Yarrowia lipolytica: one gene and its partner. The protein of the gene in region 2 interacts with the protein of the main gene of each other region in a pairwise test. Links are inferred from orthologs where the notes say so. Each region holds a gene or a part of one and is shown on either strand. Other genes may lie near its edges. The genes, in order: YALI1_F21583g and YALI1_D28825g.

Region 1 (15,623 bases), on a different chromosome or scaffold from region 2:
TAGCTGACTGTAAGAAAGTGTTCCATAGTGAATGAAAACTCGAAACAAACTTGCATGGTGGTGGTCTGTACTGCTGATGGCGAATACCGTCCTGGAGACCACTAACCAGTGACATATCGTGAGGATCTCTTGCCACCGTTGTGGATCACAAGATCAACTTGGTGAGACTAGACCGGGGAGATCCGAGACACAATCTGCAGCCCTCTACCCCAAGACACGATTGGCCCACTTTATATAAGAAGGTCAAGCTTGATCCTTCCTTGTCCTTCACGTCTGGCTTCAGATGCCGGGGACCGAGTTACCGACATGTCGAACCACCTTCTACAGTATCGTACCTACGAGGGGTTTGTTTGTGAATGGCGCTATGGTTGCTGGGTCACCAGAATGTTTTCAAGGAAACAAGACTAGGTCTTTCCTCCTGTGGGACTATTCTCGCTACTTGTACTTGGTTGTGTAGCACCTGGTTGATCTAATTACGTCATAGAGACCAACTAAAATAGCGTAGATAATAGTGGCAAGACTAAAGCGGCAACCATATTGGCGTCAGGACGTGTTTTGAACTGAATTCTTCTGAATTCTTCTGTTTCCTCACCAAATCGCCTGCAACTTCTGCTCTCTTGGAGTCAGAAATGTTTCACGTATTCCCGCGTATTTCCGAAGCCTAGCCAGCCGCACCTCAGACGTCTGAGTTTACCCGAAGTTCCTTTTTTCCTCGCGTCTATAGCCGTCTAGTTTCAAACGGTCTTTTCCGACGCAGGCCGCCAAACTCTGTCGACAGTAAATGGAGGAGCAGCAGCAACATGGGGCTCAAAAAAGTGATAGATGCGTCAGAGAATGGTTTCAAGGGTCTGAAAAGCCGCAAATATACATATACAATATATTCTCGTGGAAAACCCCGCTCCGTTGTAGCAATAATATTCCCAGACACTTCCCCTCAACAACCCTCTGAGGTGAGACTCTGCTCCCATTCAAGGGCCGTGTTTACCTATGCCAATAAGCAGGCATGACCAGGCATGGTACGAATACAGCTGTAAGCGCGCCAGTGTGGTCAAAGGAATGTTTTCACATGTTCGAGCGAGTACTTGTGGCGTACCGAGCGCAAGTTCTGCAGACAGCAAGAGATCGCGAATACGAGTGATACAGTACACACAAGTTCGATACAAGTCCTACTCTCCACCTTGTACTTGTCCACTTGAACGGTATACTGTACTCATATCGAACTTTGAGACAATGACATCATAGACTAAAGTACCCCTCAAGACGGAGACTCTAACGCGTGTCCCATACAGCATTCTACAAGTACAGTACATAGTGTACCCAAGTCGGCCGACAATTGCTGTAGCGTGGGTGAATGTTGAAAAGTGACGTCATGCGCTTTCTCAAGCTCTTTCTCAAGCTCTTGTAAGAGGAGGGGAACCACCATGCAGCTTTTGGGCATCACATGACTGGTGCCCAGAAAACGGGTGGGGAAAGGGTATGCGAGCTATCGTATTGATGTATACGTGGAGCAATTGTTGTCTAATTTTCCCGCTGAGACCTCCATACACGTGTGTGACTTCTTTACTCCCACGTGACCGGGCCACATGAGCTCCCTCGCAAGGTTATTTCCAGTCACTTGCGGTGGGCTGTTTTTTAAGCTCCGTCGGGCAACTCTAAAGAGTTTGATGACCCAGTTGCGGGCTGGGCAGCACTAAACATGCGAGATAGAAAGAGGAGCGTGGTGATATTGAAGGGTAAAATAAAGGCAAAAATAGGCGCTGCTGTGGGCGGAAAAACAGCCCCGAAACGGATGGCGGAACGGGGAACACGGCCCCCGTACACCCGGCCAGTCTCCGGGGCCGTTAAGAATGCCCTCACATGCGGGTCGCTTCCTTCCACCTCGGCTTCTGCAGTCTTGAACAGATAAAATTTGGGAGAATTTTTTTTTTTCTCGTTTCCTTTCTCTTTTTGAGTTTGGGATTGTGAATTTCCACTCAAGCCTTTTTGTTCTCGGCCGTTTGGGAGGATGAGGTAAGCACACTCGGCCAGATGATTGGTCGCCCCGCATCAGATAGACAGCCCAATGATGCGCTCCAGACAAGGGAAAAAAAGCCAATGTGCGAGGGTGTTAAGGGATTAAGGTAAGGAAATAGAGATTCAGTCACCACTTTAGCATGAGGGGAAAAATGAAGACATAAGGGGGGTAAGCATGGATGGAGCTACGATAACGTAAGGGTTCTTAGCGAGCGACGGGGCGTGGAACGCGACTGGGGCGGCCCACACGGCGGCCCAGGGTATGGCGCCGGAATAAATATTGCACCAAACCTGCGGTGCATCTTCAATAGAGTTTCCAGACAATGATCCGGTGGTGCGCGCAGGCTGTGAATTGGGCCCGTATGGTATGTTAGTGTTAAGTCTAAGCTGAGGTGGTGTGAAACACAAAGCTACTGCTGCGGACATGAAATAAAACACTACAGTAAGTACGGAGGTTTTCTTTCTTCATCTGCTCCACCTTAGTGCAAGTTACTCTTGATACACACAATACACACAATACACACAATACACACAATACACAGACGATACCAATCGATACACACAAGAGTAAACCCGACACTTCAACCACAACTACGACCGTACATCGCTACACCGCTACATCCACAAAGTCCCACACCGCCATGGAAGACTTTCTATTTCCTGGAAAATCAGGACCCACCACTGGCATCACCCGCAACCCCGACGATGCCATGACGGTAGCAAAGGGGTTCGAGTGCGACTCGCCCATGCAGCTCAACTCGCCACCAGCAGAGCCCCAGACCGACGATGACAACGACACAGACATGAACGCAGAAACGCAGTCGCCACAGAAACCGTGCCAGTACACCTCGCGATTCGCCAAGGCAAACACTTTCAACAACCTCAAGGCGGACGAACAGCCACAGCCCGTAGACGTGCTTGGAGGAGGAGCAGGCAAGGGACACTTCTCAAGGCTGTCGCAGACACTCTCCAAGTCGTACAGAGATAGTGACTATACGTTCCGAGAACGTGTGCCCTTTGGAGAGTCCGACGAATATGTCCCCGGCATGGACTTCACGCAGCAGCAGGGCGACACCAAGAGCGACGCAACCACCAACCTGTCGGGACCAGCCTCGGTGGCTTCTCCTCGACGTTCGGATACCGGAGAGTTCAGGGATATCAGCACGGGCTCCAGTTCTGTCGACCTCGCTGCTTCGGCCGCTGCTTCTGTAGACTGGAAGTCTTTGCCCTTCAGCACCCGAAAGAAACTGCGATCTGCCATTGCCGAGATGCAGATGTCGCCCCTTAACACAGTGTCGTCGCCTATGTCCATTTCGCATAAGGATGACCATATTGCAAACTCACTGTTCTCCCCGCAGTCGTTTGGCCAGAACTCCTACGGCGGCTCTGTGGGTCCCCCTCCCGCTATCCCCTTTTCCAAGCGACGGTCTCGAAACAACACCCTGCTCAACTCGACCCAAGACTCTGCTTCTTCTGCAGCCTCTTCGCCTGCTCAGAACTTTCTCGCCAAGTTCTCTTCGCCCTCAGTGTCTCGGTCTGCCTCCGTGAACATGGGCAACATGACTACCCTGGGCAGTCAGCCCGAGGGAGTGGTGGCCGGAACCCCATCTGGCAACGCAGAATTTTCTCTGACTGCTGACGCACTCACTGGTGAAGAGATTGGACGATACACTCTGGGACAGAAGATTGGATACGGAGGGTTCTCGGACGTTTACGAGGCCGACTGCAAGTCTCTTCGTGGAGGAGAGCCCAACAAACCCAAGGCGTGCAAGGTGGTGAAGAAGAACGCCCGGCTGGCTGCTCGAACCAGCGAGTCTGACCTCTCCAGTATGGAGTCTGCTGACTCTTCTGCCTTCAACTCTAGACGCAACTCCAACTCTGTTGGCAGTATTAACGATACAAGCCGAAGTGCAATTGTCCCGTCCGAGGAACATTTGCAGATGCTGCAGGAGGTCAACATTTGGCGCACGCTTCGACACCCTAATGTACTGGATCTGGAGTATGTCTATGAGGACAACCGAGCCATCTACTGCTTCACCTCCAAGATTATGGGAGGAACACTGTTTGATTTGGTCAAGAATAACCGACAGGGCATTGATGTGGAGACTGCTCGACAATATGCCTTCCAACTGGCTTGTGCCATGTCGTACCTACATGAGTCCATGCACATTGTCCATCGAGACATAAAGCTTGAAAACTGTCTCTTGGACCCCCAGGATGATGGTTCGTACAACCTGCTGGTGTGCGATTTCGGCATGTCTGACTACATCAACCAGGACGAGGAGCATGAGAACTCTCGACGACAGAACCGACCCATTGGTCCCTCCACCTATTCTTCTACTCTAAGAGGGGGCACTACCACCGCCAATGGTACTGCTACTCCTGTGCCTTCCACTCCCTCTTCTCAGGGAGGCTCGGTGAAGCGAGACAACCTTGGCTCCCTTCCCTACGCTGCTCCTGAGCTGCTTTCTACAGCCGAGCCCATTTACCATCCTTCCGTCGACATTTGGTCCTATGGAGTGGTGGTCTACGCCCTCCTGGTAGGTAACTTGCCTTTCACCCATTCTTTTGTTCCCAAGCTTCGAGGTCTCATTCAGAACGCTCAATGGGACCGGGAGCTTCTTAAGAGCAAGCTGGGTGACGGCAACGACGACTGGGTTGAGCTTCTGGAGAAGTGTTTGACCGTGGATCCTGAGGAGCGTGCCTCTATTCGTCAGGTTCTGACCTCCTCTGTTTTTGAATCTCTGGCTGAAGCCCTTGTTAGTGACACTCAATAGAGAGTGACCACACTCAAAACCAAAAACAACAACCATCGCTACTAACAGTCTTTTGCATGTGTCAACCTTTTACATAGACACCTTATGAATAATGAATATATTGCATGAAACAATAATAATACACCCACTACCAGTACAGTCCAGTGCTCGTACTGTATATACTGTAGGTATATTACATACAATACACCGTAAATTTTAGATGTTCTTGTCGTTTGTTACAGATGGCATAGCATATGGTTTCTTTCAAGTGTCAGAAGCATACATCTTCGCTCCAGTCACTCTGTCATTGACAGATATCATAAATACTAAATATAAACTACTCAGACACTTCCTTTCTCAAGTCCCGGACATCTTCTCTCACCTTTTTGGCCTCGTCAATCACCTCATCAACTTCACCTTCGAGCACTTTTTTCTCAGCGTCCTTTTCCAGCTCATCGACCTGGATGCTCGTCTTATTTTTGTCCTCCTCCAAATCCTTGTTTCCCTTTTTCAGCTCGTCCAGCTCCTTGAGAGCCTTCTCAGCCTTTGCTTCGGTCTCATCAGCCTCTTTTTGAATCTCCTCCTTCAACACGGCCTTCTCGGCCTCATCTTCTATGTCCTTCACCGTCTGGTCGGTCTTGTTGACTCGACTGGTGCCTGTTTCGGCCTCATTGTGTCGCTCCCACAGCTGTTCAATATTGAATCTGGCAAGTCCCTCGTACTCCTCAACGTTGCCAACAACAGACATTCCAATGGAGGCCTTGAAGCAGTCGACGAGAATGAGCTTGTCGTAGTTCTTGAGGTCGACAGAATGGCCGTGGTCCTGGCCCACTCGAGAAGCGACTGACTGGATAACCTCGTCTCGGTTCATGCCGTCGAAATTTCGCATCGTCGGTCGAATGGCGTACTTGAGCGGTTTCTGACCCTCCTTCAGGTGAAAGTGGGGACCCAGAACAATATCACACAGCTTCTCCAGCTCGGGCTTGCTAGCACTGCAAGTCAGAGTGACGGGAGTCATACGCTGAACAAACCGAGTGGACTTCTTTCCAGTGTCCTTGACTCCTTGGCAGATGGCCTTGACAAAGTCCACGGGCACCACGGGCTTTCTGGTTCGCACAAATAACATGCATTCACATCCCAGAGGCAATGGAGTGATGAGATCCTTCTTGGTATCCTTCATGGCAGCCACCTCGGCAGCCATGGCCTTATCAATGTCGTCCACGTCTTCAATGTCGTCGCCTTCCTCGTCGTTTTCCACCACAGTCGTTCCATACAGCTTGTCGCACCACTCGTTCATCATCAGTCGCACCTCGTTCTTGGCCATGTTTTCCTTGCCTCGGGTGTAACTTACGTACACTCCCTGGTAGCGGGGTTCCACATTCTTGATGGCTCCGGGCAAGTACCGCGCCTTTTTGTTGCGCTTGTTGGCGTCTCCTGATCCGCTTCGTTTGCCCATGATGTGTTTGTATAGTGGTGAGATGCTGGTCCAAAAAAAAACTGAAAAAAGTTTAGATCGCAGATGATCTTGCTGGAACTACTGTACAACTAGTGCCGGAGCTATGAGAGCTGATGTTGAACGGTAAGCAATAGGGCGAATGTTGAGAGAATATGCAAGGCGTATGTTCAAGCCAATCTGATTTTGTTGGCGGAGTAACATCGACAAAGCAAGACTATGGGAATGAGTGTTCTCTCTAGCTGCCCAAGTATACGTTTTTTTGGCTGCTACTGTTGCAGAAGTGAAACATCGGGCGGTAGAGGCAGGATTCAGGCGAAGACTATATATAATCTCTCATACAACACTGAAGCAACAATTTGTTGATCCAGCTGCCTATACTTGTACACTACCACTGGCACCCAAGTATCAATGAGTTGTATATGAGAAGTATTCTGGGTACTGTACAAGTTGTCGTATGTATATTCTCTACTAATGTTACAGTATGTACAGTACCTACTTACTGCAACTTTCCTTGACCGATACTACTGGTATTGCACCAGTACAATACGATATCTAGGGCACACAATGGACACCCTGTCTACAACATCTCTCATACAATCGTAAGTAGTTTTAAACTCTTTGCTTATGGTCGCATACGACGACCGATTTTAATAGTTCACGAATAGATTACTCGCAAACCTCCTCCTTATCTTCGACAACAACCTCCTTGATCTCCTCGATGGTGGTGTACTCGGACTCGGCAGGCTCGGGCTCGACAAGACCCAGCTCCTCGAGCTTCTTGTCAGTCTGGGCTCTCCAGGCGGTCCACTCCTCGAGCAGTCGCTTCCGCAGCATGATAAGCTCTCGAGAAGCCTCGGAAGCCTCCATGGCGTCGATCTCCTCAAACTTTCGAGAGTACTCCTCCAGGTTGTTTCGGATATCCTTCTTCTGCTGCTTGGAGAGCAGAGTAGGGGGTCGGGGTCTCCAGGAAAAGTGCTTGAATCGGTCAATGGACTCCTCTCGCTGCAGCTGGCCTCGGAAGTCCCAGATCTTGTATCCGTTTTCGGTGTGGTGTCTCCAGTAGGAAGACCAGGTGGCGACAAACCGTCCAGAGGGATCCCACTCGAGAGCAGAGATACCGTAGTGCTCGGACGAGCCGAGGAAGTGCAGGTTGGCAGGAAGATCCTTGTCACCGTGCTTTCGGTCACCCTCGTAGTCCATGTCCCAGAAGTCGAGATCGATAGAGTTAGAGCCCTCAATCATGACAGTGATGAGGAATCGACCGTTAGGGGACCAGAACAGAGAGTTACAGTTCTTCTTGTCAAATGCCTTGATCAGCTTCCATGTGCCCTGGGTTCCCTTGTGTCGCTCAAGAGCGTAGAAGGACAGAGTGTGTCGGTTGGCGGGCAGAGGACCGTCGTAGTTGGTGGTGGAGTCCGAGTTGGAAATGGTGACGAATCGGTCTCCGTGGGGCTCCCAGGCCATGTTGGTGACGGTGTCCTTGAGCTCCATAACCTCGACGGGCACTCCTCGCTCGCACAGTCGGAAGAACTCGAGGTTGGTAAAGGTAGACTTCTTGGACTTTGTGTGTCGGTCGACCTTGACGCACAGGAAGCGTCCCTGGTCCTGCCAGTGGATCTTACAATCGGCCACGTTGAACAGGTTTCGGGTTCGCAGCACCTCCTTGTTGGAAGCCTTCATGAGGACCACTCGAGCGGTCTGGTTGCCAATTTCAGGAGTCCAGTAGCAGAGAACAGACTCAGTGGCGGACTTTTGTCGTCCCTCCAGGTTAACAAGAGCAGGAGCCCACTCAAAGTCGACGATACCGGGAGCCTTGACGGACTTCTTATCCAGCAGAGACATGGTCTCGGTCTCGTAGATAGACAGCTGCTCTCCGGGGATCATACGGGCAGCGTACTTGTCGTCAGGAGAGAACTTGAGAATGGGCCAGGACATAGAGGCGCCCTTCTTCTCCGGGGGCATAGCAAAGGTTCGGACGGGAAGTCGAGTCTCGAGGTTCCATACAATGATCTGTTTGCCCTCGTCAGCGGGGCCAAAAGGAATGCTCTTTCGCTTCTCCTCGTCATCAGGGAGAACGAGAGGAACGTTAGACCAGGTGACAAGGAACTTCTCGCAGGGAGAAAACTGCACCATCTTGACGTTGGGATGCTGGAATTTGCAGATAGGAGGAGCCCAGTCGGGGCCACCCCACAGCTGAACACCTTGAGTATGAGTAGACACAAGGTAAGTACCGGTGGGAGACCAGTAGACCTGGGTCTCGGTCCATCGCTCTCGGTCAACGTCAGCCTCCAGAGTATCACCCTTTTTGTTCCAGAAGACTCCGACTGTGTCTCCTCGATGGAGCACAAACTGGTCTCGGCCCTGGGGGTCCATGAGCCAGCTTCGCAGATGTCCCTGTTCCACAAAAGGCTCGGTCTCGGGCTCGACAAACTCCTCGGTTTTCAGAGTGTCGTACTGCATGCCGTACTTCTCCACCTCGGACAGCTTGTTGACAAGCAGCTTATGGTTCTTGTCAAACTGCTTGTTGTGGAAAGACTTGACGGCAGCAGCAGCCATCTCGCCCGTCTCGTACTCAATGAAGACAAATCCGGTGGACTTACCGGTGGCCTCGTCGAAGGGAATAAAGATGCCGTCTTCCTTGATCTTGCCAACAGCGCCAAAGAACTTCTTCATGACGTTGGCCAGGGCTGCCTGCTTGGCCTGGGGAATCACAGGAGCTCCATCGACAACGATGAAAGACTCAAAGCCCTCGTCCGCGTTGACAGCGTACTTCTCCTCCAGATCGGAAAAGTCAATATCGAGGTTATCCTCCACAGTCATTTTTCGTGGTGGTGGTGGTGGTATGAAGGGCCTATAATTTTACCCTTTGATTCAAATCGCACACGCAGCTTTTTTTCACCAAGAGAGGGTAACACAAACCTTAATGTTAATGGACCCAGCATCAGGATCAGGACCGAGCTCATGTGCATACTGTACAGTAGTTTGTTTTCTGGTGGCTATTAGCAATACCGTGGGTTGGTCACGTGATATGGATATCATGGACGCGAAATATTGACACGTGTGTGATATGAGGGGGGTGCAGTTTTCTGATTTGAGATCGGTGCATTATTAGACAGGTTGAATCGTTCTCTGAGAATGAGTCGGGGTTGAGTCGGGGTTGCTTGGTGCCATCTGTGAGAGTGAGTGGAATAACAAGAACCGGTAATTGTGAGCACGTCTACAAGTAGGTCGAGCGTGTAACGTATGGAAGAGTTGCGGTTTTCAGAAGTGGTCATAATTAACGACAATATCAGATATCAGTGTTTGTATATATTGTACTGAAGTCTGTACTGAAGTCTTGTTTGGTTTACTTGGATCAAGGATCTTAGTTAACATTATTAAAGAATGTTTGTTGAAGAATGTTTGAGCAAGCTTGGTCTATCACAAGTACATACCGTCTTCGTACCGTAAGTACTTCAATCGTATAAAACAGTATTTCAATAGTTTCTTACTGCTTTATTTTTGGTACTTGCAGTCTCCAAGCATCTCTCAAATAGACAGTCCACTCATGGACCAAGTGACGAACAGTCTCGTAACATCTGATTTTCTTGAATGCAAATCAACGTGGTGGTGCAAGTACAAGTACAAGATACAAGTACAAGATACAAGTACAAGTAGTCATAAGCCCCCTCCTTCAGGAAAAGTCCCCAGTAGCGCTTTTTAACCCCTCCACCCATGTATAATCTGCCATCTGAAACACCGATTCCTCTAAGAGAACATATGCCAAATGACCTTTGTTGACCTTCTGTCGACATCATTAAACAGGTTAAATGGGCTCTCCATAGCCGTCCTAACCTTTAAGAGCCAAGGAGCAGTCTCGTTCGGGAATAAGACTCTATACTGGTGGCAATTGTACTTGTACTTGTACAGCAGATTTATTTCTACCCCCTGACAAGTCACGTGACCGCACTCACAGGTATATCGAGCCAAAGCCCCCAAGCTACAATGGACATACAAGTACAAGCAAGTAACCTACAGTCGAGAATGTCATGATTCTTCAAGTCACGTGAAATGAATATGCACGAGAGTATAAAGTTAAAGGACTCCAACATAGGGAGGACTTTCTCGGTTACTGTACGTCCCCACGTGTAGTTCGTCTCCTTCCCAAACTCATAACCTGTGTTGTCCTCCCCCAGAAGTTAAAACTCCAGCACAACCCGTGATTTAAAGTTTTCGCTTAACCGCACCTTTGACCAATCCAGATAAGACCTAGGGCCTGCCAAAAGATACACCATTGCTATACACCGCATCACGTGGGAATTATTTATCATACACGTGACCAATCTCTCCAAAAAGGAGATTTCCAGGCCGCGTTTGACACGACATTAAACCCTTCGGGTTAGGGTTTCCGTGCAGTGCAGCATCTGTCGAATGCTGAAACGTGCAACGTCTTCGGTCTCCGATAATTGGATAATTCGCCTATAAGTCCCTTGCTAGAACGAAATGAGCGAACGAGACGGATTTCTGGAGCAAGGTGGACGCGACTCTCGTGACCACGTCCACGACTATGACACACGTGAGACCTCTCAACATCGACGTCCCTCTCACAGCTTCAAGTCCGAGACCAAACCCGACAAACGGTATCTATATGCTGGAATCTCGTTGGTGGTCAGTTTGATCGCGTTTGTGGCTCAGACCGAGACAGCCGGCTACGTGGCTCATAACCTGCAGTACAAGAAACCCATCTTTATGCTGTACCTGACACATTCGTCGTGGGTCTTTCTGTTACCATTACAGCTGCTGTTCATCAAGATCTTCAAGCGATGGAAGACCCCATGGAGAGTCTTTCTGCGTCGGCAATACGAGCTCGTGTTGAACACCGCCCGAGCCACTCAAGAACACGCAGGTGACTTCTCCGGTCAACATCCGCTCAAGTATATTATGGTCACATCTTTCTGGCTGTTTGTGGCCCTGTCTTTCGCTGGATCCTCCTGGTACATTGCCGTAAACCTCACCACCCCCAGTGACCTGACCGCCATCTACAACTGCTCGGCCTTCTTCGCCTATGCCTTTTCCGTGCCGATGCTGGGAGAGTCTCTCAAGCCTGCCAAGGTGGTCAGTGTGGTGGTCGCTATTATTGGTGTGCTCATTGTGTCTTACTGGGACACTAACGAGGGAGAAGGCGAGGTCTCTTACCCCCACAGAGGTATCGGAAACCTCATTATCGGAGTGGGAGCCATTCTCTATGGTCTCTATGAAGTCATGTACAAGAAGCTGGCTTGCCCTCCCAACACCATCTCCCCACGTCGTCAGGCTGCCTTTGCCAACGTGGTGGCCTTTTGTATCGGTCTCTGTACTCTGCTGTTCCTGTGGCTGCTGCTTCCCATCCTTCACTGGACCGGCCTGGAGCCGTTTGAGCTGCCCCATGGATCAGCTGCCGGCATCATGATTGCCAACATTGCGTCCAACGCCATCTTCTCAGGTGCTTTTCTGATTCTCATGGCCCTGACTTCTCCCGTTATCGGATCGGTCGCTGCCCTGTTGACCATCTTCCTGGTGGCTATTGTCGACTGGCTTCTGTTCGACACGCCTATTGGAACTGGAGGCGTGATTGGAGGTCTTATCATCATTGGAGCCTTCATCATGCTCAGTTACGCCAGTTTCCAGGAGCTCGGCGAGGAGGCAGAAGATAGTGATAGTGACGACGACATCATTTAAGAGAAGGACGAACTGGGGGATATGACAAGGAATAAATAAAAAGGGGGTAACGCTACAAACTGTACATATTGTGTGCAATCATTACATTAATATGCTTTCCAAAAGGCCATTCATGTCATCAAGGTGGCAAAGAACTGTGTATCACACTGTTCTGTAGTAAGATACAGACACTCCCGGTAGAACATTTATTAACGACATATCCATACAACAACACTACTGGCATGTACTTACTGCCCCTACCTCCTCTTCTAGCCACAGGTGGTTCAGTAGCAACTCTCATATCGTCCAATGTCTCCTTGACTATATACATATCCTCATCTCAAGGCTCACAGGCTCTTGTCTAACATCTCTTTGTTGATGCACATATCCCTATCGCTTCCTCTAAGCAGCCTTGGTGACGAGCTGCAGACCGTGCCACTGCTTGATCTCGTCAGCAAGCAGAGCGTTTACCAGACGATGTTGCTTGACCATGGGGATGCCCTTGAACTTGTCGGACACAATCTGGATGGCAAACATGGAGCCGCAGCCGCCGGAAATGTCCCGCACATCCAGACTCACGGGTTTGAACTCGTCGGTCAGCATCTGGCTGATTTGCTTCTCGTAGTCGTTCAGCTCGTTTGGACGTCTCCACGAGGCATTTCGCGCAATCTGAGTAGTGGAGAAGGGTCGCACAAACGCGGGTCGGGCGGCAAAGAGCCGGGAGTTCATCATTTGTCGCAGCATTGTGTGTGTGGGTGTGTGTAGTTTTTGATGCGGAAAAAGTAATTTGCAGTGGTGATGTTTCAAGGTGGTTTAGGTTGTAGTCCCAACCGAACAAGTAGGTTATCGGGGGGCAAATATCGGAGGGGACAAGGAGAGTAATTAGTTGACTTAGTAAGCATTGCAGAGGTGAAATATGGATGTCACATGATACAGAAAGGTCCGCTGAGTAATATTAATGGCCAAATCTCCTAAATTGTCGATTAAAAGCGCACTTTTAGGACCCATCTCTGAACACCCCGCACTGCGCTCTCTGAACCTAAATGCATGCATCATTACAAATGCTCTCCCGTAATTTGACAGACAAGGGTGTAATGATGAGATGAGAAATGTCCAAGTAGTGTACTAGTTACTTGGCTGACCATAAAGATGGAGAATATACAGTCTGTAGACTCTTCGAGGGCATTGTAGTGTGCATATTAGAGTTTTTAATTTCTTAACTAATTATCAACTAAATTATAAGAAAGTCAGTTTGGATTTCCACCTTCGATTAGTAAGAATAATACCTCTCAGAAATGCAAAAAAAAACGCACTAGCTGAAAATACAAATGGACTCGATTGTTGAGCACTTAAAGAGACAGAGCTGTTTGCACTTCTTTTTATAGAAAGCCGCGTCAAATGCAACTATTGTAGACATTGTAGACCCCCGCCTTCGCATCACCACCACTATCAAACTTTCAGATTAGCTTTTTTATTTTTCACTCTGACTACACTCGACAGAAATGGGAAAAAGCAGCAAGGACAAGAGAGACATTTACTACCGAAAAGCCAAGGAGGAGGGCTGGCGAGCGCGATCCGCCTTCAAACTGCTTCAGCTGGATCAGCAGTTCCACTTGTTTGACGGTGTTCAGCGAGTTGTGGATCTGTGTGCTGCTCCTGGGTCCTGGAGTCAGGTGCTGAGCAGAGAGCTGTTTGAGAAGCGAGGTATCGAGGCTGGCAGCGGTAAGACGGTGGCTGGGTCGACATTTGGAGGCAAGGTTGTCACCGGGGAATCTACTGCTCAAAAATCATCCACCATGGAGAAGGCCAAGATTGTGTCTGTTGATCTGCAACCCATGGCTCCCATTGCTGGTGTCACCACTATCCAGGCCGATATCACGCATCCTCAAACTCTGAAGATGATTCTGGACGAGTTTGGAGGCGAGCCTGCCGACTTTGTGTGTTCTGACGGAGCTCCCGATGTCACTGGTCTGCACGATCTCGACGAGTACACACAGGCACAGCTGATTCTGTCTGCGCTTCAGCTGACCACCCAGCTACTGAGACCCGGAGGAAACTTTGTCGCCAAAATCTTCCGAGGACGAGATATTGATCTCATGTACTTCCAGCTGGGTCTGTTGTTCGAGCAGGTCACTTGTGCAAAGCCCCGATCTTCCAGAGGCTCTTCTCTCGAGTCTTTCATCGTGTGTCAGGGATACAAGCCTCGATCGGGATGGTCTCCCGATCTCGCTACTGGCGTCATGGTCAACAAGGAGCTCCCTCTGCCTATTTCCGAGCGGGTCGTCGCTCCCTTTGTGGCCTGTGGCGACCTGTCGGAGTACGACTCAGACGCTACTTACACTCTCCCTAGTGGAGAGGGAGTTCGAGTCAGCTTGGACCCCGTTCAGAGCCCTACTTGCCCACCATACAAGCGAGCGGTCGAGATGAAGAGAAAGAACTAGAGGGATATATAAAAGAGAAGGATTGGGATGCATTTATAATAGATTTATTGATTAGTTAATACGGGTGACTGACTACTACAAAGTGAAAGTCTCACATAGCTCGAATTCTCGGCTGGAATGACCAATGTACACGGAATACTCGCCTCGCTGCACTCTCCAGCTCTGCAGTTCCACGTCCCAAATGGCCAGATCTCGCCAGTTGAGGTTGTACTCGGTCATCTGAGACTCACCAGGGTTCAGGAGCTTGGACTTGTCGAATCCTCGAAGCTGCACCGGAGGAGAGTCGATAAGGGTTTCAGGGAAGGCAACGTACAGCTGAGAAACTACTCGTCCAGCAACATCACCGCAGTTGGTGGTGTTGTGAGTGACAGTAACAGCGTTAGACCAAAGCCAGGGGTGACCACCCACTCCTCCAGAAGCGTCACTGACATGTCCAGCTCCATTTGCAAAGGGGAACTGAGTCTGAGAGTCCGCGAGGGGCGCACTGGCGTTGAGAATCCAAGGGTAAACAAGACCGTCAATCATTTTAAAGTCATTGGGGACATAAAGGTCCTCAATGTCGATATTGGTCATCTTGGGTTTAGTAACCTGTACAGGAACAGGCCGGGGAGGAAGGAACTCACTAATCTCCTTAACATCAAGATGCAGATTGCTGAAGGAGTAGGTGGTGTATGACAGACCGTAACCAAATTCGTAGAGGGGAGTCCTTTCAAACTTGTCGTACCACTTGTAGTCAAGATAGATTCCCTCCACAAAGTCGGACTGGGGAGCTCCATCTCGAGGGATCTTGGTGACAATAGGAATATAATCAGAAGTATTTGCTGCGATAGTATAAGGCAGCTTTCCTGAGGGATTAACCTCTCCAAATAACACATCAGCGATGGCTTTTCCTCCGTAATCACCAGCAGGAGCAGTCAGAAGAACGGCACTGATGTTGGGGTGGTTGAGCCAAGCGGTCATGTCAACTTGTCCAACCGTAGTGACAACAACGACAGTCTGTCCCTGACTGGCAACTGTATTAATAAGTTCATCGCCATTGTGCCATAGACTGACATTTCGGCGATCCCCAAGGTTCTTATCAACGTTGGCAGTAGACTCTCCTGAATTTGCCAATACATAAACAATATTCACGTCAGTGTCTCCAGCCAGCTCAAGAGGAAGTCTCATATCCCATGACTCGGTGGTTCCTGTCACTGACACTTCAAGTAGAGAAGCCTTTTTGTGGAGAGCTTCGTAAGGGCTTTCGTACTCCGTAGGGTAAGCAGTTCCACTTCCCCATCC
Region 2 (15,846 bases):
TCCCGCTACAGCTATTGTAGATTGGATTCGGAAACACATTCAGCGTGGTTTCTCCTTGATTGGGAACGGGCCAAATCGTTTCTACTGTTCCAGACAAAGCTCATGAGTGACCAGATAGCTCTTCATGTCTGTCAGTACACTGGATGTGTGTTTTTCACCTCCAGATCGAGTCTGAGAGTTGTGAAGCTGTTTCCACGAGTTTCGAATCGTCAAGTCGCGTGGTACCATGTTGCCCAGACAAATAACTTACCCAAGTCGTATCTATCAGACAAGTATGGAGTTGTGGTGAAGGAGGGAAGCGAAAGGACTTATCTAAAGCACAAGGGGAGCATTCTACTGGTTGGTAGACACGAGGGAAAGACTCAATGTTGGAAATATAGTCGTCCCTTCCTCACCAAGCTCGACCAGTTCGTCAGGAGACATTTCGTGTCGTGGAAGAACCAGTGTGAGGACTGTCAGGAGTGGAAGCGGTGGAAGAGAGACTTGAGCGGCTATTTCTATCCGATAAAGAAGAGGAGGAGAGATTGAGATGGAGGGGAAAATTGGACTGAAGACGCGCGCGCAGTTCAGTTCCAGTTGGAGTGTCGTGAACAACTGGAGAAAGAAGAATCAAAGCAACTGACATTGTCTTTGGAGTGTACTGCATGTACTTTACTGTACTTGTACTGTCCCGACTCTGTGCTACAGTACCTGTAATGTTCAGTCAGTGAGTATGTGAAGTGGGTATTGTCCACACAAAGTCGAGACAAGTGGACAAGTCGAGATTCAATTCGAACTTCAATTCGAACTTCAAGTTGAGATTCAAAGGCGACATTCCAGAACTCCTTGACGAACACCAATCCCTGCTAGTTGTTGCTTCAACCACTGGTGTCTCTCATTCCATGGATGCTATTCATAATTGATCTCATTCCACGTTGTAGTGTCGCCCGTTTCACTTTCACCTTCCCTCCTCCGGTGAGATTACTTGCAGTGTACTCCATTGGCCATGTTCACGGCATACAATTCATTTCGGCAGTCAACCACAGTTATATCTGGTTGCATAGATTAACACATTCGATTCGATATTGATTCATATTCTATGCCAAAATCAATATATAATACCCGTCCGTACCTCGAAAGCTCGTTATCCAGTTAACTTCATCATGCAGCTCAAGACCCTTGCTATCGTCTCTCTCTTCTCTCTGGCCGCTGCCCAGCAGGCTGCTCCTAGTCCCGCCACTACCATGGCTTTCACCCCCGCCGACTCGGCCGAGAACCCCGAGGACATTCACCAACTCATGAAGAAGAAGTGCCCTGACGAGAAGTGCCCCAAGCCCAAACATATCACCGTCACCAAGAACATCACCAAGGTGCAGTCCAAGACCATCACCAAGACCATCAACTGTTGAGCAGGAGATTGTTGGACGATGAAGAAATATTTATAGATTCTAATTGATGTACTGATAGCTGTATAATGTCTTTTTCCCCTAAAAAACTGATTACAGACTCGTATTGTCTCCACTGAACTCGTTTGGTCAAGTAGTCGTTTCATTCCTGAATCACGATACAAAGTTGAGCCCCCCCTTTCCCCCCCCCCCCCACGAGGTCTGATTGGAAGACGCAATGGCTTTGAGATATGGCTTTGAGAGTTGTGCAACTTCAACGTTGCCTGTTATGCCACTGTATTGGAGGTATTTTATTGAACATGTCTGTTGTAAATATTCCTGTAGCGTCACTTCTCATTTTTCATATCCTGGACTGATGGTCGTTTGGTCCCTGCGTCACCATACCAACTGAAGTTGTAGCTAGAGATGTATATCGAGCCTTGAATGAAGAAAACGTGTCACCATTCTAAAGCTCTTACATGTATTCATCTGATAATCAACCCTCGATCCCTTTTTGGACCCTGTACTGCGAAAACGCTTGTCTTTCACGTGTTACATATCTTCAACATGATGGATCTTCAACGTTGGCGACGGTTTCAGTTGGGTTACCGCAGATGGCAAGTCTTTCAGGAATGAGTCCTACTCGTCTGACGAGTTGGTAAAGTCATCATTGAAGTAGAGATGATGGACTTTAGAACCAAGTAGATGCCACCAACACGGCAGAACAAGTCGGAATTGTACTACAATGTACGTCTCTTCCAGGGTGATGATGGCACTACCTCTTAAGTTTTTCCCGTAGACGTTAAAAGTGACTAGATGGCAGATCCTACGTTGTGGTTATGTAGATGAACAGGAGTTGTTCAGACTGACAGCTTTGTCAACGGTGTTTGAAACGGTACAAGATCGTACAGAGACAGTCTACTCAGCCACTGTTGGTTCATGAGATCACGTGACACTAGCATGTACTCCTTTTCCAGGTTTGGGGTTGAAATGATGCCATTGAATCAGTTGATCAGTTGAGGGGGAGTCTAGGTATATGTGCGGTGCAGTACATGTACACTTGAATATCCGATTTTTCTGTTCAAAGTACTCAACTAAACTCAACTAAACTCAACAAATGGATCAAGTAATTGTCGTCAATTAGTAGCGGTCCGAGATGGCCAACTGATCTTGCAGCTGAAATGATCCAGTAACAGCCCTTCTGTACATCTAAAGTCCAAATACTCGTACCAATAAGATACGCCATCGCACTACCACCGTCGCATTTGCTCAGTCTCGCCTGTCTCCAGTCAACCGCCTGCCGCCATGTGGAGAACAGTCTTTCACGTTTTTGAAAATTGGAGCTGAAAAGTGATGAGAATTCTTCTTATTAACCACATAGACCTTTCGATAACACAAGATGACGTCCTCCTCAATTACTACAATCATGGCATCTTGGGGAAATCAACATATCGATGTCTCCAGCCATGTGGACGTTTACTGGGGGAGTGTCCTGAGAAGTCGACAGTTTTTGCAACCACATTGAAGATTTCGGGGTCATTTCGAGGTTTTATTCTGGTAATATCGACTCGGAAAGGCTACTTGGAGCCAGGGGCAGGACAGTGTAGAACTGATGGAGCCAAGAGTCCAACCGTGAAGAGTCCAACGATGGAGAGACCAAATTGAAGAGTCCAACGATGGAGAGACCAAATTGAAGAGTCCAACAATGAAGAGTCTAACGATGAAGAATCCAACCATGAAGAGACCAAAAGGTCTTTGTGCATTTACTGACAGATAATGTGTTGGAAATGTATATTCAACCGTCTTGGATATTGTGAGGGGACACTACGTCTTCAAGGGCTGGGCCGGTACTGCTCGCTGATGTTCAGGTACCGGCCCAGCCCTAATCAGCGCATCATAAGCAGGTCCTCGTCCCTGCCAATAGAGTCCTATTAATGTCTTGGTTGCGTTGTTGCAATACGAGATCCTTCCTCCTGTCTGGCGTCCCAACTCGACCTCAACCCACTCCAAAATGTAATGATACCACTAACTAGTTACCATGGTTAGTCGATCCAGGACACAGCTTCCCCGAATACACAGTCAGAGCAGCTGGAGTCCCCAAAGACCTGATCTCATTGTGACAACAAATCTTCTCTTTCCAACTTTTCAGCTCCAACTGAGACCCCACGATACCGGAACAGATTTCCCATTGAGGGAAAATATCGGAAATGTTTGGGCACTGTTGAAGATATGGCCTCGAAAAACGCACATTTGCCGTTCTAACATACAACAGCTACAATCATATGCAACAGCTACAATCATATATATCTACAACCCCCACTCGTCTCATCCGATAACACAGCTGAAGAACCAACTGTGACCTGGGGAAGATACCAAGTGCGCCGGAATTTGTTCTCACCTCCTTTTTGACGGAAAGATCGCCTCTGGCGTGTTCAATTTCAACGTCCGGTAGGAGTTTTACCATGTTCTGGACATGTGTTTGGAGAGCCACCTCTGAGCATTGTTGAGATACGGTTAGGTGATTTGTTAAGATATAGTTCGGTGATTTGTTAAGATGTAGTTCGGTGAAATTTAGTAGGGAACAAGTAATAATTGTGGGTGGTTGTTTTGTGGTTCTAGGATGACCAGGATGGGGGTGCTGGTTCTATATTTGCACATTGTAGTGTTTGATTGATTCTAGGACATAACACGGTTGTAAAAAAGAGCCTCCTTCCATCTTTGGTCGTAAAAGTGTTGTCTCCACTTCGTGTTGAGGCCTAGTTAACATTTAGTTGACACTTAGTCGAGTGGTCCGTACAAGTTCTTAGAACCGCTGGTATGTGGCTAAATGATTTGAAATTGGTATGATCAGACAGTTCTCAATACTGTAATTCAATAAATCAACTTTTCATCTCGCCATAGTTTCTCTAGAATATTCTGTAGCGTTCTTGTTCTCAGTCTACCCTCCACTCACCAACTCGTAATATCAAAACGCAGCTACAGTACTAATCAATAACTCCGTCCTTTTCTTGGCAATTGTGATATGGATTTTATGCTCATTTTTTTCTTTTTATATACTTTTATGTCCATATATTTCTGTTTTCAGGACATTTCAAGCGCCAAAATGACCAATGTACCTACAGCCTCAAACAACTGAGACAACCGCTATGGAGATAATGTCAACGGTGAACTGACGCAAGGTGAATTGAGGCAAGGTGAATGGAGGCTACGATGAGTTGAGGCTGCAATGCCGCTTCCATAGGTATATATATCTACCCATTGACTCATTATCGGCACACACTCTCTTTGACGATACTCTCAAGATGCCTACGGGTTGGACTGACGAACATGAACAGTATGTGGCTACATATGTCTTGAACCACATGAAAGAGACGCCTTGCGACTCGGCCAGATTTCTCATGCGACACTTCAAGTACCAGTTCGACATTAGTGATCTCATTTTCCAAGTTTGTCAGTGGCAGGGGTACTACAGGAACAACAAGAGCAACTTGGGGCTTAGTTGGGATTAGTTGGTAATAGATCTGTTGAGGAGTAAACACTGGAATGTAGTTGATAAGTTTGTTGGACTTTGAATAAAAGTTTGGGATGAGCATGTGTAGTAGATGGACCATGACACTAAACGTGTTTAATTAGTAATATTCGTGTAAGCGTACATTCATTTCAAAGGTTATTCTTTCACAGCAAAGTTATAATTAAAATGAATGGTATATGCAGAAAAAAAAAAAAGTAGATGCGGACTTTGCAGGATATATATATAGGCAAAACTGGAGATGGTCTGGAAGATCTGCTGACATTATTGCCAACGTTGACTTCCCTAGGTAACGAGCCCCATAGTTGTGTCATGCCGCTCGGGATGAAGAGTTAGCAATTTCCGCAGAGCCCCGTATCAGAAAACCCAGGCTTTCTTGTTCACTGTGTCAGATAGTGGGGTCACAACACAAGTTGATGAGAAAGTCCAACTCAGTACGTAGAGCTCAGCGTAGTGATCAGAAGCAGGAGTGTGCTGACATGTCTTATTCCGTTCCCTCCCAGGACCTCTCCCTAGAATCTCCGTCCATCTTTTTCTTGCAAACTCTCTGTTTTTAACATGTTCCGTCTGGTCCATGAGAGTGAGAGTCCATGTGTCAGTGATCTCTGTCATCGTATGCATATGAGATGAGTGCCAAGCCGCTAAGCGAAACCTCTCAAAACCGGGTTCTAGCTGCTTGTAGAAACATCAAAAGTATCGTTCCCTGCTTGATCGGTACATGTAATTCATATTACAAGCATACCGCATCATTGGTTCCTGTGTATATGTAAGACAGGCGTTCGAAGTATGTACAGTATTGCTGTAGTGCGGGGGAAAAAACTTCTTTTCGTGCCTGTGCGAATAACCCGGTTGGCTCAATGAGTATAGAAGTTGACTACACAAGCACAGCTGCTGTTGACTCGTGTCAAACGTCTTCATACTTTGTCTCATCAACCACCCAGAAAGTGTCGTTTTGGGGCCCGCTCTATCCTGTTTGGCCCACTAATGCCCACAATGGAGTGGCTGGAGGACTATATGTGTCGCTGCTGAAGACCATCTCTTGGAGACTGCAAGAAAAACGCCATACTCAACATGGACTTGGTCCAAGAGAGCAATTCACTTTCATAATCACTGCACTAGAACCTCGCAGCTCTAATTCCCCAACATCTGGTGAACCCGCCCCTCTCTCATTGAACGTCTTTCAGCCAGCTGAAATGAATCAGATATACTAAATTACTGCATATACTATACTAGTGAGGACTAGTGAGGACAGTCAGAACATCATTTTATTTGCTCCAGTCATCACTTGATAGTTTCTTCCAGTATCCTTCTGAACTTCCACAATTACTACCTGTAGTCGTCTCCCTAACCATTCTTTTAGTTCTACATTCTCTTTACAATCACCTCTCATGCCACTACAATGAGCTCAACTTTTCCCAAAGTCTACTAAATGTCCATCAAAGCACTCACTCAGAACTTTGGAACTCCTATAACATGCTCTATTCAACTATTCAGCACTCTCTTGCTGTCATTTTTGCACACTCACTTGCGCTCGTGTTTTCAGATAACTCCCTCGCCTATCGAGCTCTCTGCGTCTTTCTCTTCTGGGGCTGGGTCATCTTGTCAAACTGGTACCCGCCAGCCACGAGCCGCTCGTTTCGCTCGGCCAGCTGGATGACCTTGTCAGACAGTGCCACGGCGAGCTGCTGCAGCTTGGTCTGCTGGACAGCCTGTGTGAACACGACCGAGTTGGTCTTCTGGTCAAGAGATCCAGGAAGCTCCTCCTGGGCAATCATCTTGGCGACAATGGCAGCCACATCCTTAACGGGCAGCTGGAACATGTCGGCCAGAGTGCTCAGAGACAGCGTTGAGTAGTGGTTCCAGTAGGTGAACAGATAGGTTCTCAGACCCTCAATCTGGAGCTTGTCAGTGAGCATAGCCTTGATAGCCTCGGGGTTGGGGAGCAGGCTCCAGATCTTGATGGCACAGACCAGATCTCGTGCAGCCTCCCAGTCGCCTCGCTGCAGAGCCTTGGCAGCCTGCATAATGTGGTCTCGGGTGTTTTCGGGAGGGCCACAGAAGACCTGTCGCTCGTGGTAGTCGAGCATTCGTCGGAACAGCTTGGAAATGACCTTCTTTTTAGCGTCGATAGACGTGTTGTGGGCAGCCATAAAGGGGATCTCCATAAGCAACGACGAGCACAGGAACACGCACTCCAGCAGCTCGAGGTTGATGTGGGTGTGGAAGGGCAGCACTCGCTGCTTGTCGACAACTCCGGCCTGGGCGTACTTCGCCAGACCCTGTCCGAGCAGCTCCTTTAGTCGAGGAGAAGAGCAGACCTCCTGGAGCGACTGCTGGGCCTCGGCAATGAGTCCGCTTCGGAAAGCACACAGACCAAGCTGCACCAGGGTTCGGTTGAATAGCACCTGCAGCTGGGGCTCAGCAGAGGCAATGGACGACTGCAGATGGGACATGAGGAACATATCTCGTGCCTTGTAGTACTCGTCGTTCAGAGCGTAGTGGTAGACGTGAGCCAGCATGGCCTTTGTTCGGAACACAGTGTTGCTTTGCTTGTACAGAACGGAGCACATGTTCGAAATGAGCGTGGTGGGGTAAGTGGATGAGGTGAGGTCCTTCTCTGTAGGTCGAGGAGTGGCCTTGGAATCGCCCTTGACTCCACCCCAGGCAATCTGCTCAGTCATGTTGATGACATTGTTGGGCTTGAAGTAGAGATGGTCGACTCGTCGAACCAGGATTCGAGCGAGGCCAAGAGTGTCCTTCTCGTCGGAGACATGCTCAATGTACATCTGCACTCGGAGGAGAGTCTGGTACAGCTTGGTCTCGTCTCTCAGACGGTCCACGTACTCGGTAGTGTGAGGGTCCATGAACTGGAGGGCCTTGGTGAACTCGTCGTCCACACGCTCAACCAGAGAAGCCACAGAGCCGGGAATGAGCTTGACGCCGTCTTCCCGGGCAACGGGGCCCTTCTCAACGTCCTCAATCTCGGGGGCAGTCTCAATCACGTGATAGGTATCAATGTTCTCCTCGAGAATAGACAGCAGGTCGTTGAGGTCGCCCACAACCTTGAGCCAGTTCTCGGGAGCAAGAGCAGCAGACGCAGAAGACAGATCCAGACGAGTAGACACAAGCATGGTGTAGACAGAGATCTTCTGGTAGACGGTAGAGGCAGATGGCAGCAGGTTCTCCAGCTGTCGCACCTGGTCTTCCCGGTCGGTGTTCTTCTTACCTCGGCTCTCCAGAACGGTCTTGAGAGTCTTGAACATGTCGGTGGGGGACACAAGAGCCTTTCCAGCCTTGCCAACGGTGGTGAACTCCTCATTGGAAGCCTGGGAGGGAGCGGTGAGCACAAACTCATCCTTGGCCCGGGGTTTGGGCTTGTCCTCCTTGTTCTCTTCCTCCTCTTCCTCTGCCACGTCACCACCACTGCTGTACTTTGCGATGGCAGCCTCGTACTCCTTGTTGTTCTTTCGCACCCGCTGCTTGACGGTGTTGAATGCTCGCGAATTGGACGCGTTCATCTTCTTGATTCCAGCCTTGTCCTCCAGCTGGGTGTTGAGGAACTCCTCCAGCTCAACAATGCACTGGATGTAGACCTTGGGGGGCAGGCCATGTCGCTGCTTGGTGAACCGCTCCATGGCCTTGTTGAGCTTGTCAAACTCGCCCTGGATCAACACCCAGTCGTTGATTCGCTTGCCGTTGTCAATCAGCTTGGAGCAGTTGGCCAGCTCGGCAAGCAGCTTGTCCTTGGCAGACAGCACCGTCTTCTTACCGGTATCCTCCTCATCGTCCGAGTCGGCCACGGTGGACGACTTGAGGAAGTAAGATGCGCCCTTGCCGCCCAGGTCCTCGTCGTCGTCGCTGTCGTCGTCAGAGTCGTCAGCAAACATGGAATCGTCACTCATGTCATCGTCGTTATCATCTCCTCCGTCCTGCTCGTCCTGGGAAAAGTCGGAGCCGGACTCGGAGCCAGAGCCGTACAGATCCTCGTCCGAAGACGAGTCGTCGCTGTCGGAGCCACCAGCAAAAAATCGGGACATATTGCAATCGGTGTGTGGTGTTGTATGTATGTGGAGGAAATTTTTAGGTGGTCTGGGACCGCACTGATTTTTTACATCAGGGTAACCTTGCAGAAAGCTTATTACCTCCAAGCCAACGGCGTGATATCTCACGATTGGAAAGTCGCAACAAGAGAGACGAAACTTCCCTACACTTGCAATGTCTCAATAATGGCAGATATCCCTCGTTATCTCAATTTTCCAGCCTTGTCTAAATCCCAGATCGATCTCCTTCCACACCCATCTTGGACAACTTAATTTTTTTCAGTTGGGAGGGCTCGACTGAGATAAGACCTTTTGCTGGACTATTTATAGACGCAATCTTGGAATAAATTACATAGTCGTAATCCCCGAGAGACTGGTAATACAACCGTGTCGTCCACTTTGCATTTCGGCCACTTTTCGCCGTTTTCTAACCCCACTCGTTCCTGCCTGCTGTCGAACTCTATAATTTTCACCTCCCATTGATGTCCTCTGGTCGAATCACCCACTGTGCTTGCTACCAGTGGTAGTCTCACCAAGTCTCACCAACATCTGGCTGGGAGAAAGACAGGGTCCCGCAACACTGGTGCAACCATAGATGAATGTGAAATGGACCCAAAAGAACATCCGCGGGTTTCAAACCGCCAATGTTAACATGGATCAGAAGAAAAGAGAAGGATACAACATACAATTGACATGCCAGGGAAGAGAACACCTTACTATCTAGTGTATGGTACACCAATGTACCAATATACTTGTAGCGCGGTGAATTATGGGTCACGTGATGTGTCATACATCGCACCTTGAACCGCAGTTTCATCTGGATAAACCCATTACCTAAGCATCTAACCCTGTCATAACCTGCACGTACAAAGCTGTCAAATCTAGTACAAGTACAGACGAGAACGACCCACGGAAAAATACCCAATCGGCATGGTCACGTGATCCTGTCACATGACAACACACGCCCCCTTCCCTTACAGACCTCCTACAAGTACCCTTATCTCCAATCCGCAACTTGATCTGATAATGAACGTGATTGGTTGGACCCGCGTTTTTGTTGTTTTTTTTTGTTTTTTTTTTGTTTTTTTTTGGGGGGGAGGTCCCGAGAGAAGCGGCTCCTTCTGGGAGTCTCGTGACCCCCAGATCAGCGCGGGCCCGGGCCGGCTCGACTTCCTAGGGCTCACGTGACCCATCTCCTCTCACTCCTAGGGCTCACGTGACCCATCTCCTCCCACTCCCAGGTCCATGTGTTCAGTCCACGGCGGCGCAAAGTAAGGTTTGTCATATATACGAGGAAAGCGAACTTTTTTAAATTTCGTTTGGAGTAGCGAGAAGGCTGGAGAAGGGAGGAGGGGCGGTATTGGAGGGAGTCTCTGTTGGAGTGGGGGGTTGGGGTTGGTAAGACAAGCGACGCGCACAGATTGTCACGTGACTTCTGTTAGTAGTTTTTGTTGGGGTTTATGCTTTTAATTTCGGCTTTGGGGTCTTCAAAAGTGCGCCATAAACTGGCCCATGAAAAACGAGCCTCCTCTTATACTGGCTCTTTGACAGTGTGTATCGACCAGCCCAAAAAAAAACAAGGTGACAGCTCAAATTAGAGTTTGAATCAACCTTTGCCAACCCACACGCACTAACTCACTTGTGCCCAAAACCATCGTCTCTAGAGCCACTACTGTTGATTCACGACTCGGGGGCTTCAAAAACACATTTAAAAATGAGTGGACGTGAGTGACAGAGAGAAGAGAGAAGGTAAAGAGGGAAAAAGGAAAAGAGGGGGAAGCGGTCTATTTATGTGTTGAAACGATGCGACACAAAACCAACAACACAGGATCACACAAACAGAACGACACAAACATCAAGGATCCAAAAAATAACATCCGACACACACTCCTCAAAAGCCGATTCCAACGCTGCTTGAGCCCTGACTAACACAGTACGTATGCTCGATCTGGTGAAACCATTCCAGGCCATTCTGCCTGAGATTGTTGTTCCTGCTCGAAAGGTGAGTATTGTTGATCGAGAGACGACGATGACAAGTGGAGGACATTGAGGACATTGAGAGAGAGAAATGACAGGATGCACGGACGAATTCAAGAGATCTTAGTCTCTGATGGTACTGATTGACGATGATCAACCCCTGCCCAACATGTGTAACCCCTCAACATGTCCATTTTGAATCAACAACATGGCAAATGCGACCGGAATGATACCCGATGTGCTGACGCTAGCGCACTATAGGTGATCAGCGATGGTGTTGCCGATCCAAACGACCTCAATGGTTGTGTTAGGATCTCATCATCAGACGTTGCCACTGCAGATCAACTCAGTGCTGTAGCTCCTCTCAAAGCTACTTCCAGGTAAACGATTCTATTGTATTTCTGTGATCAACTTGGTTCACGTCAGTCAGATTGTCTCGCTAAGTTGCTTAACTGCTACCCTGCTCTCGGTTTCTACATACTAACCCAGCTCCCTTTTTACGACAAAATCGCCTACACTGTCGGAATCGCCATCACTTTTTTCATCATGGCCGGCATCCCGCTCTACGGCGCCCACGCCTCCACCTCAGACCCCTACTCGTTTACCCGAGCCATCTCCGCCTCTTCTCACGGCACTCTGATGGAGCTCGGTGTGGGTCCCATGGTCACCTCTGGAATCATCTTCCAGATCCTGGGAGGTTTCCAGGCCCTTAATGTCAATTTTGACATTCGAGCCGACCGAGAGCTCTTCCAGAGCGGCCAGAAGATCTTTGCTCTTCTGCTCACCTTCTTCCATGCCATCTTCCTCGTCTTCTTCGCTCAGACTTACGGTACCATTTCAACCGACTCTGCTGTTTCAGAGCTCTCTCTCGGAGCTGCGGTTCTAATTGTTGCCCAGCTGACCGCCGCTGGTCTCGTGCTCATTCTGCTCGGCGAGATTGTCGACAAGGGCTACTCTTTCGGCTCTGGTTCTGGTCTCTTCACCGCTCTGTCCGTCTCCCAAAACTTCATGTGGCAGAACCTTGCCCTGCTCAAGGTGCACCAGGAGTTTGTAGGATCCATCCCTGCCCTGCTCATGGGTCTGTGGAAGAACGGACTGTTCAACTTTGGCGGCTCTTACCGATACGTTATTGAGAACTCCTTCTTCCGACAGAACCTGCCCAACCTGCTGCAGCTGTACATGTCTGTGGCCGTGTTCATGCTGACCATCTACCTGAACACTTTCCGGGTGGACATCCCCATCAAGTCGTCGCGAGTGCGATCTCTTGCCACCGCATTCCCCGTCAAGCTGCTTTACACTGGCTCTATGTGCCTCTTCCTGCTGTCTGCCTTCTCCCAGAACGTTCTCATCTACTCGCAGTCTCTTTACGTGCAGTTCCCTGACAACCTCATGGTGCAGGTTCTTGGTAGCTGGGGAGCTGACGGCTCTCCCGTGGGCGGCATTGCCTATTACATCAGTCCCAACAACTTTGGATACGATGTCATCAAGATGGTGCTCTACTCTGTTTACACCATTGTGGGCTGCACTCTCTTTTCCAAGTACTGGGCTGAGATTTCCGGCTCCGCCCCCAAGGACGTGGCCAAGCAGTTCCAGGCCCAGTCCATTGTGATTGTCGGCCAGCGAGCCCAGTCTGCTCCCCGAGAGCTGGCCAAGGTCATCCCCGTGGCTGCTGCTGTTGGTGGAGCTGTTGTGGGCGCCATTGTGGCCTTCTGCGACATTTTTGGCGGTCTTGGAGCCTCTGCCGCACCCATGATTGTCGCCGTGACTTCCATGAACAATTATTTTGAGATTCTTGCCCAGGAGGGTGATATTGCTCAGATGGGCAAGGCTTTTGGAATGTAGAGTGGGGATTAGAGTAAAAGCCGTATTATGTATTAATAAACGTTTGAATTAGTGGGTGGAGTGGACATGTACAGGCAGATCAGTAAGCGGATGTGTGACTGGCTGGCTGTGTGAACACGAGTTGAGGATATGTTCAACCAAAGGAGATAAGGAGAGAAGGGATGTTTCATGGACATACAAGTACATACTTGTACTACAGTACAGCAAACGTTTTAGGCTTGAATTGTTCGGGGATATTTCTCGTTGGTTTTTCTCTCTCTGGTCGGTATCGCTGTCCCATTTAGAACATGCAACTGTACAAGTGCAAGTATGTTGGAGATATTGAAGAGTGAGTGGCAATTTTAGTGTTTGGAGTGATTGTTTTCGGCTGAAAAAGAGACAGTATTATCGGACTCACGTGATGACTTAATCAGCCAAAGAAATCACCTTTTGGGGCTCTTTCAAACTCCTTTTGAGACTGCCCAAATATGGGGTCTTTGAACTCTAAGTAGATCAAAGTTTTTCAGTGCAGTCAGTCGAGTAAAAGTGTTCTTTTGTGGGGCGCCAAATAGTGGGTGGCAGGCTGTAGATTACACGAAGTTACGGGTAGAATACTTGAGATTTTGGAGACACGTATCAGGTGAAGAATTCCTGTTTGTTTTGGTACCCACCTGACAAACGGGGTGGACTTGCTTTTGGCAGCACAGTACAGTAAAGTATGTACCTTTTGTGGGGGGAGGGGGTTTGGGATTGGGCATGGTCAGCTGGAGACAGTCTTTGCCTTGGTGCATGGGAGATCAGTATTGTGATTGTGATTGTAATTGTAATTGATAGCCATTGTTCGAACGAGGTCGTTTGCTTGCGGAGTGTCAGATCGAGAGTTACTCTTAGAGCCTCTTGCTGTTGTACTAACATTCAACTCCAGCGCTTAGTGGCACTACTTCAGAGTGGGCGTCTCTCTTGGTACGTCTGTTTCATTTACAGTGGCAATGTTCAACCTCTAGCTACAAGCATCAGTTTTTATCCCATCCGATATCCCAATGTTTTGACGCTAGGGTAAGAGAAGTGGAAGGGGATTCCAGTCCTTCATTGCAAGTTTGGCATTTGGTGCGAGTAGATTGTTTCTGCCAATTGCATTTCCCAGGGGCTTCACATGTTTGAAGATGAAGAGTTGTATTCTAGTCATTCTATGTAGGAAATTCTTAGAGTCTTGCTGAACGAATTCTATACAATAAGCCTGGTATCTTGACATGACAAGTTTTATCTGAAGTTGCCACAGTAAGGTCAGCGTCTGATATCTCCGAGTAACAAGAGCAGCTGTTGTAGTGTCATAATACCAGCAATCTTGCTTCAGAAGTATCCTCCAGTAGCAAGAGCAGTATTACAGTAGAACATCCGAACCGATCACCGATCCGCGGTGATGTCACAGACTCAAATCTCCCAACTGCGGCTTCTTGACATTTCGTCTCCAATTATACCGCTCTTCATCCCACTCCACTCCAAAGAAGCCCTTGTCTGGATCGGGGTAGGTATCGGCCTTGAGCCAGTCAGTGAGAGCCTGCTGGTACTCGGCATCCAGGGGGTGTTTCAGTGTATGATGGGCAGATCCAGTGCCTCTTTCCTTCTCTTCTTTCCGCAGAGACTCAAATTGGGTCTCCTTAGAAGGCAATTTCAATCTTCCAGACCACACTCGAGCCACAACAGCTGCTTGGGTTTCAGCCAGAGGGAAGGGCACCACGTTTTTGGGCATTCCGATGAACGCAATGGATGGGTCGTTGATGTAAAACAGCTGTCTGTAGAGGTTTCGAATCCGAACTCCATCGGTGATGAGGTCATCGTCTGAATGGTGCACGTAGGAGTGCAGAAAAGGGAACGAATACAAGTATCCAGTGCAATAGATGACCACATCAACGTCAGAGAGAGTTTGGGGAGACGAACCCTCCACTCCTGGAGCTCCCTCGACATCAATATCATCACCGTGGAACTTAGTAATCACACCAACAGTCTCAATGTTTCCCTTGGTGGGGGCATTGGAAGGCGATCTGGCAGAGACAATGACCTTTTTGGCGGTTTTTGCCGCCTGGTTGGCGATATCAATGCCGGAAGACGAGTTTCCAACCACCAAAACGGTCTTTCCAACATACGAATCCGGGTTGTCAAAGTACTTGGCATGCAGAACCTCATGCTTGTCTGAGTACGCCTTCAGACCCGGAACGTCAGGCACAAACGGATGGGAATAGTGGCCGGTGCATACGATGACGTAATCATATGTTTCGAGCTCGGGCTGGACGTTTTCCTTGGCATGGGGTCCGACGTACTTGGACTCCACCATCCACACGTCTCCCGTCTTTTTCAAGCCGGTGACCATGGTTTCAAACTTGAAATGGTCCACGACATGCCGGGCGTAGTCCTGCACGTACTGTTTGACAACCTGTCGTTTGGGAAACAAATCCACGCCCTCGGGGAAGGGGAAATCCTTGTACGCCATCAACATGTGGGGCAAGTTAGTGTTGAGATCTCTGTACATGGGGTTGTAGTAGATGATGGAGCCGTCCTTTTTGTGCTCAATGGGCTCTGCGGGCATGTCACGAGTGCATGGCAGGTTCGGTGTCGGCCGGGTCAGGCCGTTGTAATTCCATACTCCTGCTCCAGGTGCCGGTTGCTGTTCGTAGGCGGTGATTTTGCCAAAGTAATTCTCGGCCAAAAGCGCCTTGATGCACGGAGCCGCGCTGGGACCTCCTCCAATGATAGCCACAGACTTGAGATGTTTCATGGTGATTTTTCTGGCTGGAAAATGAGTGGATTGAGCTGTACTTGTAGAGAGTCAAAAGTGGTGATGACGCACTTGTCGCATAATATGCGGGTTTAAAGATAAAGTATCGATAATCTTAAGCGCACGATTGAGAGCAGGATGCATGGCGTGTGTTGGAGGCGGCTGTGAAGGAGTTAGAGAGATTTATAACATGGAAATATATATTTCAAGTGATCCAGATGGGGTTGGCGTTTTGTTTTGCGCTTTTTTGCGCTTTTTTCGGGCTCAAAAGCTCCTCTCAGACGTCTACTGAAAGCTCTCTCCTCTTTAGTTTTGAGTTTGACAAAAACGTGCGAGAGTGGG

The links.
Region 1: the proteins of YALI1_D28825g (region 2) and YALI1_F21583g interact in binary tests that used the Saccharomyces cerevisiae proteins (3 or more experiments, as listed by UniProt). The link is inferred for Yarrowia lipolytica from reciprocal best matches to the Saccharomyces cerevisiae genes NIP1 and PRT1.

Annotation. Positions count from the first base shown.
Region 1 is NC_090775.1:2,151,812-2,167,434, reverse strand, and holds YALI1_F21583g (uncharacterized protein), read right to left. Parts: upstream 9,046-15,623; coding exon 6,892-9,045; downstream 1-6,891. Other genes in the region: YALI1_F21673g (uncharacterized protein), read right to left, coding at 1-115; YALI1_F21647g (uncharacterized protein), read left to right, coding at 2,655-4,790; YALI1_F21612g (uncharacterized protein), read right to left, coding at 5,107-6,225; YALI1_F21567g (uncharacterized protein), read left to right, coding at 10,708-11,922; YALI1_F21547g (uncharacterized protein), read right to left, coding at 12,304-12,645; YALI1_F21540g (uncharacterized protein), read left to right, coding at 13,404-14,342; YALI1_F21504g (uncharacterized protein), read right to left, coding at 14,418-15,623. UniProt on the Saccharomyces cerevisiae protein: RNA-binding component of the eukaryotic translation initiation factor 3 (eIF-3) complex, which is involved in protein synthesis of a specialized repertoire of mRNAs and, together with other initiation factors, stimulates binding of mRNA and methionyl-tRNAi to the 40S ribosome.
Region 2 is NC_090773.1:2,873,505-2,889,350, forward strand, and holds YALI1_D28825g (uncharacterized protein), read right to left. Parts: upstream 8,931-15,846; coding exon 6,450-8,930; downstream 1-6,449. Other genes in the region: YALI1_D28726g (uncharacterized protein), read left to right, coding at 1-528; YALI1_D28782g (uncharacterized protein), read left to right, coding at 4,667-4,814, 6,388-6,440; YALI1_D28842g (uncharacterized protein), read left to right, coding at 10,648-10,657, 10,868-10,935, 11,400-12,752; YALI1_D28890g (uncharacterized protein), read right to left, coding at 14,155-15,504. UniProt on the Saccharomyces cerevisiae protein: Component of the eukaryotic translation initiation factor 3 (eIF-3) complex, which is involved in protein synthesis of a specialized repertoire of mRNAs and, together with other initiation factors, stimulates binding of mRNA and methionyl-tRNAi to the 40S ribosome.